3 linked regions of the Bombyx mori genome follow. The protein of the gene in region 3 purifies or fractionates together with the protein of the main gene of each other region. This does not show direct contact. Links are inferred from orthologs where the notes say so. Each region holds a gene or a part of one and is shown on either strand. Other genes may lie near its edges. The genes, in order: erythroid differentiation-related factor 1; protein HGH1 homolog; DNA polymerase interacting tetratricopeptide repeat-containing, protein of 47 kDa.

Evidence for each region.
Region 1: the proteins of DNA polymerase interacting tetratricopeptide repeat-containing, protein of 47 kDa (region 3) and erythroid differentiation-related factor 1 purify together in Homo sapiens (affinity purification with mass spectrometry; 3 studies listed by BioGRID and IntAct, counting the BioPlex papers as one, with this or other methods). This does not show direct contact. The link is inferred for Bombyx mori from reciprocal best matches to the Homo sapiens genes TTC4 and EDRF1.
Region 2: the proteins of DNA polymerase interacting tetratricopeptide repeat-containing, protein of 47 kDa (region 3) and protein HGH1 homolog purify together in Homo sapiens (co-immunoprecipitation; 4 studies listed by BioGRID and IntAct, counting the BioPlex papers as one, with this or other methods). This does not show direct contact. The link is inferred for Bombyx mori from reciprocal best matches to the Homo sapiens genes TTC4 and HGH1.

The regions. Positions count from the first base shown.
Region 1 is NC_085132.1:2,168,579-2,172,236, forward strand, and holds part of erythroid differentiation-related factor 1, read left to right. Parts: intron 1-892; coding exon 893-1,691; intron 1,692-3,030; coding exon 3,031-3,189; intron 3,190-3,658. UniProt on the Homo sapiens protein: Transcription factor involved in erythroid differentiation. Involved in transcriptional activation of the globin gene.
Region 2 is NC_085117.1:1,010,640-1,014,019, reverse strand, and holds protein HGH1 homolog, read right to left. Parts: upstream 1,897-3,380; 5' UTR 1,834-1,896; intron 1,751-1,833; 5' UTR 1,605-1,750; coding exon 519-1,604; 3' UTR 503-518; downstream 1-502.
Region 3 is NC_085126.1:4,843,156-4,847,319, forward strand, and holds the start of DNA polymerase interacting tetratricopeptide repeat-containing, protein of 47 kDa, read left to right. Parts: upstream 1-1,313; 5' UTR 1,314-1,754; coding exon 1,755-1,907; intron 1,908-2,553; coding exon 2,554-2,744; intron 2,745-2,972; coding exon 2,973-3,270; intron 3,271-4,089; coding exon 4,090-4,164.

The sequences.
Region 1 (3,658 bases), on a different chromosome or scaffold from region 3:
AGGGGAGTTGACAAGGGAAAATCACTTTACTCACTGAATGATTGAACGTTAATTATTAGATGTCACTGTCATCTGTCATATGACAACTGACAGTTGTTAAAAAAAATATTTTTTTCGGTTAAATAAACGTTGTGAAAGAAAGTTTTGTGTATGATAAAGAATTATTGTAATAATAATTAAACCTGAAGAAAAGGCATTTCATGTTGTTTCTTGTTGTTTTTTTTATAGGTGAGTATTGTTAGCTATAAACGTTTTTGTACAAGATACAGTGAAAATTTGTAAATAAAAATCTTGTTGTTTTTTTTAGGAGAAACGCCATTTCGTCTTTACTTTATTGAACACCATAAATACTATTGTATTATGTAAATTAAAAAATTAAAGTACTATAAGGATGGCACTCCGTGAGATACGTATGAAAGTTTTAGAGTGACAACCCTTAACTGAAGTCGTTGTAATCGATAAGACGTCCGGTGCATTCGTATGTAGCGATGCAACGGTGTTCGAATCCCGCAGGCGGGTACCAATTTTTCTAATGAAATACGTACTCAATAAATGTTCACGATTGACTTCCACGGTGAAGGCATAACATCGTGTAATAAAAACCAAACCCGCTAAATTATAATTTGCGTAATTACTGGTGGTAGGAACTCTTGTGAGTCTGCGCGGGTAGGTGCCACCGCCCTGCCTATTTCTGCCGTGAAGCAGTAATGCGTTTCGGTTTGAAAGTTGGGGCAGCCGCTGTAACTATACTTGAGACCTTAGAACTTACATCTCAAGCTGGGTGGCGCATTTACGTCGTAGATGTCTATGGGCTCGAGTAACCACTTAACACCAGGCTGTGAGCTCGTCCACCCATCTAAGCAATAAAAATAAAAAATATGACCACCACCAGGAGGAGAAAGGGAAGGCGTCGGGCTCCAGCGGGCTGGGAGTGGCCGTGCCCGCGCGCTGCGGCCGGGCGCTCCTGCACGCGCTGCGGGGGCTTCTAGCTCTGCACAACGTCACCATCGACAAGTGCAAGCAGGAGGAGAGGGAGCGACTCAAGCAGCAGATCATCGTCGAAGAACAACACCCCAAAATGGCGAACCCATACGAACCGATCAAAATGAACTACGAGCCAATCAATAAAGAGCTCAAAGAACGCTCCCGGGGCCGGAGACGTAAACGAGACCGAAAGAACAGCGAGAAGACCAATAAGTTGAGCGAAAAGCCGCCCGATACGAGTGGCTCGTTAGTGGAAACGAAACCCATAGACAAGAACGCCATTTTGATTCGGAAGGAGAAGAAAGTGTTTCCGTCGTGGCACGAACCGAACAGGGACGACAACTTTGCTTGGAAGCTACATCTGAAAACGTTGCTGTATGAGAAGATATGCTTAGCGTGCGCCACCCTCGCTGAGTACAGCTACGTCAACGAGCAGTACGGCTTCTCCTTAAAGTACATCGATATAGCATCCAAGTGCCAGAAGCTGCTGAGCAACATGATCATCAAGAGTAAAGTGGTGGACGCCAGCTGCCTCCTGGGCAGGGTGGGCGATAATTATTTTCAGCTGAGCAAGCACTGGGGGAGTCTAGACACGTACAGGAAGCAATTCGAGACGGACCACGACACGGACAGCGGGCTGAAGGCGGAGATCGAGAGCGACATGACCGAGGAGGTTGAAGGTGTCGCTTCGGATGACTTTGACCTAGGTGAGACCCTTTGCCTTTCTTGGACCTAGGTGAGACCCTTTGCCTTTCTTTAACCTAGGTGAGTCCCTTTGCCTTTCTTTGACCTAGGTGAGACTCTTTGCCTTTCTTTGACCTAGGTGAGACCCTTTGCCTTTGCCTTTCTTTAACCTAGGTGAGTCCCTTTGCCTTTCTTTGACCTAGGTGAGACTCTTTGCCTTTCTTTGACCTAGGTGAGACCCTTTGCCTTTCTTTAACCTAGGTGAGACTCTTTGCCTTTCTTGGACCTAGGTGAGACCCTTTGCCTTTCTTTAACCTAGGTGAGTCCCTTTGCCTTTCTTTGACCTAGGTGAGACTCTTTGCCTTTCTTTGACCTAGGTGAGACCCTTTGCCTTTCTACAGATAACTAATGGCCTCCCGGTAGTCAAAATTCGACTATAATTAGTTGAAATTATAAGTTTGTACACTATTATAATTATCAAAGACTACTTCTATGATCACAGATTTTGCCAATTTAGGCGATATTAATAAAGATCAATAATATTTAATCTATTCCCAACTTGACCACAGACTAAGAGCAATAAGAAAAGTTTGACAATAAACAAATAGTATGCATTCGTGTGTGTGTCAAATACATGGTAGTGTTTGTAATGGGTTTTTTTAATGTGATTGTTATGCATTGGTTTAGGTTTGAAGGGTACCCCACCCTTCAAAGCCGTTGTAACTATACTGAGACCTTAGAACTTATATCTCAAAGTGGGTGGCGGCATTTACATTGTAGATGTCTATGGGCTCCGATAACCATTTAACACCGGGCGAGCTCGTCCAGTCATTTATGCAATAAATAATTTAAAAAAAAAACATGTCATAAGGCTTCGACGACCAATGGGTTCGACCTCGGGGAAGTACAACAGATGGCCCTTAGATTCCCCGCCACTAGCGCCCTCTGCTCCTGATTTATCTATACTAATATATAAATCTACAGTGGTTTTTACGGATGTTCCGTTATAACTACTGAACCGTGCATCCGATTGACTTGAAACTTGGTATCCATGTAGAAAATACATGCACTTAATGGATAGGCTAATATTTATATGAGTGTTGGACTCTCTACACCAGTTGCGGGGGCGTTAATGATGAGTGTCTTTGTGGGGGTGAGGGAAATAATTATGTTAATTTTAGATGCCCAGCGAAGCGGATCGGTACAGCTAGTTTTTATTTATTTATTTTTTATTACCTAGATGGGTGGACGAGCTCACAGCACACCTGGTGTTAAGTGGTTACTGGAGCCCATAGACATCCACGACGCAAATGCGCCACTTCGACTTGCACGACTTCAAAGTCATTAATAAAACTTTCGCAGATATAAGCTTACCGACGAGCGAGACCTCAGCGATGATTATGTCGTGTGACTACTACAGGCGCGCCGTGAGGGTCACTCACGACAAGAGGGATGAGCTGCTGAGGAGACTGGCCTCGGTCCTTAACGAGCTCGCCGTCAGATACATGAACGACGCCCAGCGTGAGTACACTTAGCCTATTCCGGGAACTTTTATCGTCACTCGAAGTTGAAGCACGGTAAAGTTTACAATTTTTATTAGGTACTAGCTGACCCGGCAGACTTCGTAGTACCTCAATCGATAAATAAAAGACCTAAGCTTTTGTATAAAATAAACTTAAAACAAACAAAAGGAAAAACAAAATTGTTTGTTTTTATATATATTTATTATATATTTTAAACCTTCTCTGGACTTCCACAAATAATTCAAGACCAAAATTAGCCAAATCGGTCCAGCCGTTCTCGAGTTTCAGCGAGACTAACGAACAGCAATTCATTTTTTTATATATATATAGATTATAGGCCTGGCTCAAATCGAGTTTGATATTCCAATCTGTTTGTAAAACTTAGGAACTCGTTGATGGTGGAAAAGATGAAAATGAGTGTTTTATGTACTTGTTCAATGCCTTAAGGTTGATAATTTGAAATTGGT
Region 2 (3,380 bases), on a different chromosome or scaffold from region 3:
CTATGACATGCATCAGTTTCTGTAATCTTAACATGGGCCATAAATAAAAATAAACTTTTATACTATCATTAGCTTATATGTGTATAATTTGATTTGAAAATTGAAGCAATTAAAATTTAGTAAAAACACAAGTGTTTCTAAACAGTCCGTTTCTGCATAAGTTGGTACTATTTTACATACATATTATCTTATCTACTATGAAAGTAATTACAAGATCCAGTTCAGACTTGTTTTTTTTTTAAATTACACTTCTTGGGACTTAACGTTTAAGGCAGTTTCTACCAGCCAAAGATTCAACCTTATTTCAATATAGTTTTCAGTCACACAGAAACTAATTCTTGAATGGATCAATTATACGGAAGTATCTGAACAATTGATAAAACACAAAGATAAAATCAACATGGGAGGCTCAATAGAAACCCTTAAGTGCTCGAATGGACGTCAGACTTAAGACAGCATTCTCCGCCTTAGGCATCTAATTGGACTTAAAAAGACAAAATAATTAGATTAATAATTCTTTATTGCAGATTCATCATAAAATCACTATTGGTTTTATTGAATCTTTCCCTCAATTCCTCAGGTACTTCTACTGTTGACAGGTCCTCCGCACCGACCTCGTCTTCCTTCTGAATCAGTATATCCACTACATTCTCACACGCTATCAAAGCTTTCGGGTCTTTTTCCCATTTATGATATTCTCTCATTATATAGTACACTCCGTTCTCGCGTAAATACTGTCTGCCTCTACGTTGAGCACACAATTTGTTCAGTGTCTCCAGTATCAGAATACGTATGTCTATATCAGGCTCTCTCCGCTTCTCCTTTGGTAAATACTGTAAAGTAACAGGGAGTGTTTCCATTTCGTCATCAGGATAATCTTCGTTGCCCATTAAGGGATACAAAATGTATGTAAGCAGATCCAAGTCCGGGCTCACTAGGAACTCGTGGTAGTCTGTGTCGAATGATATATTACGTATTGTACCGATCGCACCACCCTTCCGTATGTTGGACACATCATAGTTACAGAACGGTATTAATTTTATTAACGGTACATGGGGATTCTCTTCGCAGAGCCACTTCCTTATTCTGTGGCTGCAGGCCAGGTTGCTAAACATGGGCGCCAGGTAATGCAGGTTCGAACCGGTCTTGTTAAACTCTGTGTTCACGAATGCGTTCATGATATCGTTTAGATGGGGTATAAAAGTGTTCAGGCAGACTTCCAGCTCGTCTTCGAGTCGCGTGATGTTCGACAGGGTCATACAGGCGGCATCTGCGTCAGTTTTGTTAGGATTCAATACGTAGCTAATGAGTAGGTCGATTATGTTTTTATAGCGCAATGGCTTGTATTTGAGAAGCTCTGTAGCGCCACGCGTGTAGGCAGATATGTTAACGAGCATCAGGAGTGCGTGTTTAGCGATTTCTTTGATTCTGTCGTCCGTTAATTCGATGACGGCTTGAGTGATTCTTTCGTGTTCAAGCATTTTGTTAACACCGTCTTCCGTCCCCGATAGGCTGACGAGATAGTCCATGGATATGTGTCTCAAGTCTATCCTGGACTCTGGTTTCAGGAATTCGATCAATTCGTCGAAAGAATCGAGCGCCATTGTGTGTAATAGGATTTAAATTTGATTTATTGTAACTTACGCAGTTGACGCGATCTCTTGTGTCGCTATTTGTTGACAGCAAAAATTTCCTGTCAAAATCTTGGAATGATGTTTTTTTTTTCATGTTAGCAATGAAATCTACTCCACTAAAATCCACAGACTAAGGTCATTTATTTTGCTCAGTCTGTTAAAAATACATTACAGGCATCATTATTTAACAGTAATTAACAGGTTCTACAATGATTTTTGATTTCTAATGAGTTTCTGATATTTCGGCGGTGTTGCAAATGCCATGATCATGGATAGTCTAGACATTAAATTAAATATGTTAAATGCAAATAGCCGCGAAATTTTAAAACTGTTTGTAATAATCATTTAAAAGTAGCATAAAGAGTATGACTAAGTACCTATTTAATAGTAAATTCGTGTGTGATATTTTTTCCTTGATTTAACACTTATACATCGTCTTTTTAATCCAGTAAAATTTAAGATTTTTATTGATTAAAGCCGATTAAGACTTGAATTAAGCACGTTTCTTATGTAAATTACTTTTGTATTTTTCAGTATGTTAATTGGCTTCTTTTGGTGAAGGTGATACAAAAGGATGGTCACAATCCTCAGCCGTGAAGAATACGAGGAGGAATTGGCTTCTTATGATGCCATTATTGACAGTGTTGTGTCTATTTATTTATTAAATATTTATTTACTTTAAGAAATAGTACGTAATGAAAGAAGTTGATTAATATGAAAGCCATTAATTATAATTGAACGAAATAAAATGGAATTAGATGAGATGAGTCAAGATGGAATTAAATACTTTCCCAGTAAAATTGTGAGACTGACCCTTCAATTGACCTTAATATATTGAAATTGAAAAGCCACGTTCTGGGAATTTCTCACTTTCCCATACTTGTGCACTTCCACGGATCCTCAACGATTAATAAGTTGCCATTACTACACGCTTAAGGCACCGTAATAGTTTTAGTTATTTATTTTGTGAACCAGAAAATATCTGAAATTTTCAATTTTAAATTTAGTTCCGAAATAGAAAATACTCCACGACAACCAGTTTTAGACCGGGTCTTTCAACAGAAAGTGCATTTTTTTTTGCCTAAAGCGGACTGTCAGATACTACACCGATAGAAAGACGCCAGTTTACGCGTGCTTCCTTGACCTGTCGAAAGCGTTTGATCTGGTCTGCTACGATATGTTATGAAAAAAACTGGAGGATACCAAAGTGCCACCAGAAATAAATAGCATTTTTAAATTTTGGTACAGCAACCAGGTCAGCGTTGTGATATGGGCAGGAGCGCTGTCTGAACCGTACAGGCTGGAGTGCGGGGTGAGGCAGGGGGGATTGACCTCCCCTAAGCTTTTTAACCTGTACGTTAATGCTCTGATTCGCGAGCTTAGCAGCACACATGTCGGCTGTCATGTTGAAGGTGTCAATATCAATAATATTAGTTACGCTGATGACATGGTGCTGCTGAGTGCGTCTCCCTTGGACTGGCGAGGCTCCTACGTATATGTGAAAGGTATGTTAGCTGTCATGGCCTAGTGTATAACTTTAAAAAAAGTAAATGCATGGTCTTTGAGGCCGCAGCCAAGTACCCTATGAGAATACCATCCATTACTCTGAAGAAAGTTCCGATTGCATTTGTAAAGAAATTCAAATATCTGGGTCTCTTGTTAAACTCTGTCCTCAGGGGCAATGCTGACATAGAGCGTGAACGTAGGGAGTTGACAGTGCATGCTAACATGATTGCCCGCAGGTTT
Region 3 (4,164 bases):
GATCTATACTAATATTATAAAGAGGAAAGATTTGTTTGTTTGTTTGTATTGAATAGGCTCCGAAACTACTGAATCGATTTGAAAAATTCTTTCACTGTTTGGAAGCTACATTATCTCCGAGTAACATAGGTTATTTTTTTTTAACAAAAATTAGGGATCCTTACTAAAACTTTTGTTAAAGACCCGAGCGAAGCCGAAGCGGGCCACTAGTAGGTTTATATCTTGAGGGATGTTGGAAAATTCATAGTATAGGTAATTTAAACAAGGCCATAAGATTAATTACTGTTGTAGGGAGTACAGAGTAAAGAACCTTATGTACCTGTAGATTTAAAACATTATTATCGATCACATGTCACTTTTGAAACTGGAATTCATGACTGCTGCGTCAAAATTTACTCATTCCTATTGAGGTTCACGGGGATCCATTGGATGCAGGTAGTGCAGGGCCGATCTTTGTAGTGAGGCTTGAGGAGGCCTATGTCCAGCAGTAAACGTCTGTGGGCTGATAGAGAGTAACACCCGTATCTTTAGTCGTTTACACGAGCTTAACTCGACTCGACTCAACCTCCAACGCGCGTTTTGGTATGATTAGTCGTAAAAATAAACTCCACTCAAACGTCCTTGGAAAATTTTCCTAACCGGAGTGAAGTAAGCGAACTGTCAAGTCAAGGTACGTCGCGACGTACCTTGAACGTTCCTCAAGGCTGGTTTTCTATCAATGTCCAAATAGTATCTATCTATCTATCTCTTAGGTTTATGATTGTGGACCGCAAATGGAAATATATGATATTGTTGTGCAATGGCCTGGATCTGTGCATGATTCCCGCATATTTTGATAATTTAAGTTTGATAATATTTATTAATAAAGTAAATAGTTCGAGGTTAGACATTTGAAACTCTTTATTTTATTTACCTACATAACAAACATATTTTGCTTACTACCTGATAAATAAAGTCAATGCGATTATAAGTTTTATTTATATAATAATAAACTGGTGGTTGTGGAAAAGCACTTCAACAATACGATGCAACCAAAATCACACAAAAGCGGCGAATAAAAATACAAAGCCGGATCCGAAATCTAAAATAATAATAGGTTAGAAAATAAATAATACACTTTCAGATTTACCGCACGCACACATATTTACGAATAACTCAGCAACCAAAACATCAAACAGGTTCATCTAGTGTCAAAGAGATAGCGGCAGCTTGGCTTTGACATTAAACAATGATCATAGACTACAGAACTCTATGGGTTTGATGCTAGCTTGATCAAATTTTCATCATTATTACCTCACTCGAGGACAGTTGAGGAATATTGTAATGGTCGACTAAAAATACCAAACTCGAGTATGTTTGGAGGGAATTCTCGAGCATCATCGGATGAGTTAAGAGTGGAGGACTATTTTACGAAACGTCTAAAGATACGGGCATTTGTGTTAGGAAAACTACGATTTAATGGAAGACAATAATAATTGAAAACGTCAAGCGTCAACGTTGAATTTTGTCAAATGTCTGAAAGACGGAATAAAATTTAGGTTATTGAGATTTATAAACATTGAAAATTATGTAGTTAATTAATAGGGTTATGTTTATGAAACATTAAAGAGCATGTTCGTTTAATAAAGTAATTTTCAACAAAAAATACATTATTGTGATACAAAATAATGAACAAGTTCAATATTTAGGGAGCAGATTTCTGATATTAATGAGAAAGTTTTGTTAAACTATTGTATTTAAAAAGCAACTAAATCATGGCCGAGGCTAATAAAAGTGATGTAAAATCCCCAATGACCGAAGAGGAGAGATTAGAGTTGTGCCAGAAGCTAGACAAAGAGCTAGATGACTTTATAGACAGCTTAGAAAAGAGGAGGTATACTGAGGGTTGGCCTGAAGATAGATGGGAGGTAATATGTGTCTATTTTGTTTGCTCTTTTTAAAGTGTTGTTTTTATACAGGAGAACGTGAGTTGTATTGTAATCAAATATATTTTGATTTCCTTAATTGAATTTTATAATACAATAAAATAAACATTAAAATCATTTGCAACGGTATACTAATGGTTACGTTTCTGAGTAATGTATGCTGATTGACGAAAACAAAAAAACTAATTTAATTTCATAACACACTATATGCTTAGGAACTCAAGATATGTTGTTTTTTTGATGAAAAAGTTCAACATATATTATAAAACATGTATTTGAGTCGTCTATTACCAAAGGTGGCAATCTGTGCATTTGGACAAAAAAAAATTATTGATATGTCAATACAGATTGATTTGAATATAATCGTCTCCTTCAAAGAATACGGTTCAAAACCTGCATTAAATAAAGGTTAATAGTTAACCTGTTATTTATCTAAGATGTCGTTCCGAAGAGTTTTGTGACTGCCAATGGATACAAAGTCAATAATTCGTTTTTCTGATTTACCAATCATTGTCCAAAAGTCAGATTGCCGGCTTTGATAATAATCGACTCATTTAAAACATTGAACTTTTATACAATTATTGTACCAAAAGCCGATTCTAATAGGCTATTTACTCAATTTATTTAGGAGGAAATGGACAAACATCCATTTTTTATGAAGTCAACTCCTGAAAATGGTGAGCTTTCTCCACTGGCAGAGGGTCTCGCAAATCTCAAGTTTGATCCAGAAGAAAACACACCTGTTGAACTAGCTAGTAATTACAAAGAGGATGGAAATTTCAATTTCAAACACAAGAATTATAGACTTGCAATATTAGGGTAAGTTGTAATATATATAGCTACTTTATGAAATTAATTTAATTCAGAATTACTTTACTGGGACTGTTGCAAATATTTTGTTTTTTTGTTTTAATGTGTCTTCATTAAGTAAGTCCATGACTTGTTTGGTTAGTTTAATTGAATGTAATTACAGATAAGGGAGTTAATCTGTCGAAATTTAAGATAAAATGTTATATTTTATGTTTGAGTTTTGATATTCTATCTTAGGTACACCGAAGGTATAAAACAAAGATGTGATAATGCTGAGATTAATGCCAGTTTGTACAACAACCGTGCTGCTGCCCACTGGCATTTAAAGAACTTCAGATCTGCACTCGGAGACAGTGAAAAAGCGTTATCTTTCAGTTCTAATCATACTAAAGCTAAAATACGAGCTGCTAAGTCAGCATTTCAAATAGCAAAGTACCAGACCTGTATAAAATACTGTGAAGAGATCTTAGAAAATACAAAGGATAAGGACATTTCTGAACTCCTGAGTAATGCTAAGAAAAAGAAAATAATAATGGTAGTTATTTTACTTTCATTAAAATTTAGAAATATTAATCCTCATTGCTTTTGAAGTTGAACTCTAGTATCAATACAATATTTATTTGCAGTAGAAATAAGCACGAGATGATACCGTTATAATCTCATCAGCTCTTAAGCTTACTGGTGGTAGGACATCTTGTGAGTCCACACGGGTAGGTACCACCGCTCCGCTTATTTCTGCCGTGAAGCAGTAATGCGTTTCGGTTTGAAGGGTGGGGCAGCCGTTGTGACTATACTTGAGACCTTAGAACTTATATCTCAAGGTACCCACCTTTACGTTGCGCATTTACGTTGTGGATGTCTATGGGCTCCAGTAACCACTTAACACCAGGTGGGCTGTGAGCTCGTCCACGCATCTAAGCAATATTAAAAAAAACCTTGCAACACATAACCAGTAAATTTTTAATAAAACACTAAATATGTATTAGGCAAACTTCATCAATGGATTAAATTAATGAAATTTTTTAGTGCAGGAAAAGCTATTTATTTGCGGGGTATAATATGTTCTGTAAATACGCCACGAAACATAGGCCATGAATTTACATGTACATATTTACATCTATGGGATTATAGGGGATAATTATCTTTCTAATTAATATCATTTAACAACATATTATAGGCGTAATTGTAATAAGGTCTATTTTACTTTTTTATTAGTCCATTTGACGATGCTCTTACAAAGAATATTCGGTTGGATACCTACATATTGTAATCCTTTTTATCGATGTGTATGTACCGTTTTCATTTAGAATTTTTCAAATTCTTTAACGTATGCTACAATAATATTTTTTTCCAGGAAAGAGATCAAAGGAAACAGGCTCGTAATATACAAAATATTACGGAGCAAAAAGACGCGGTACTCAAAGCCATA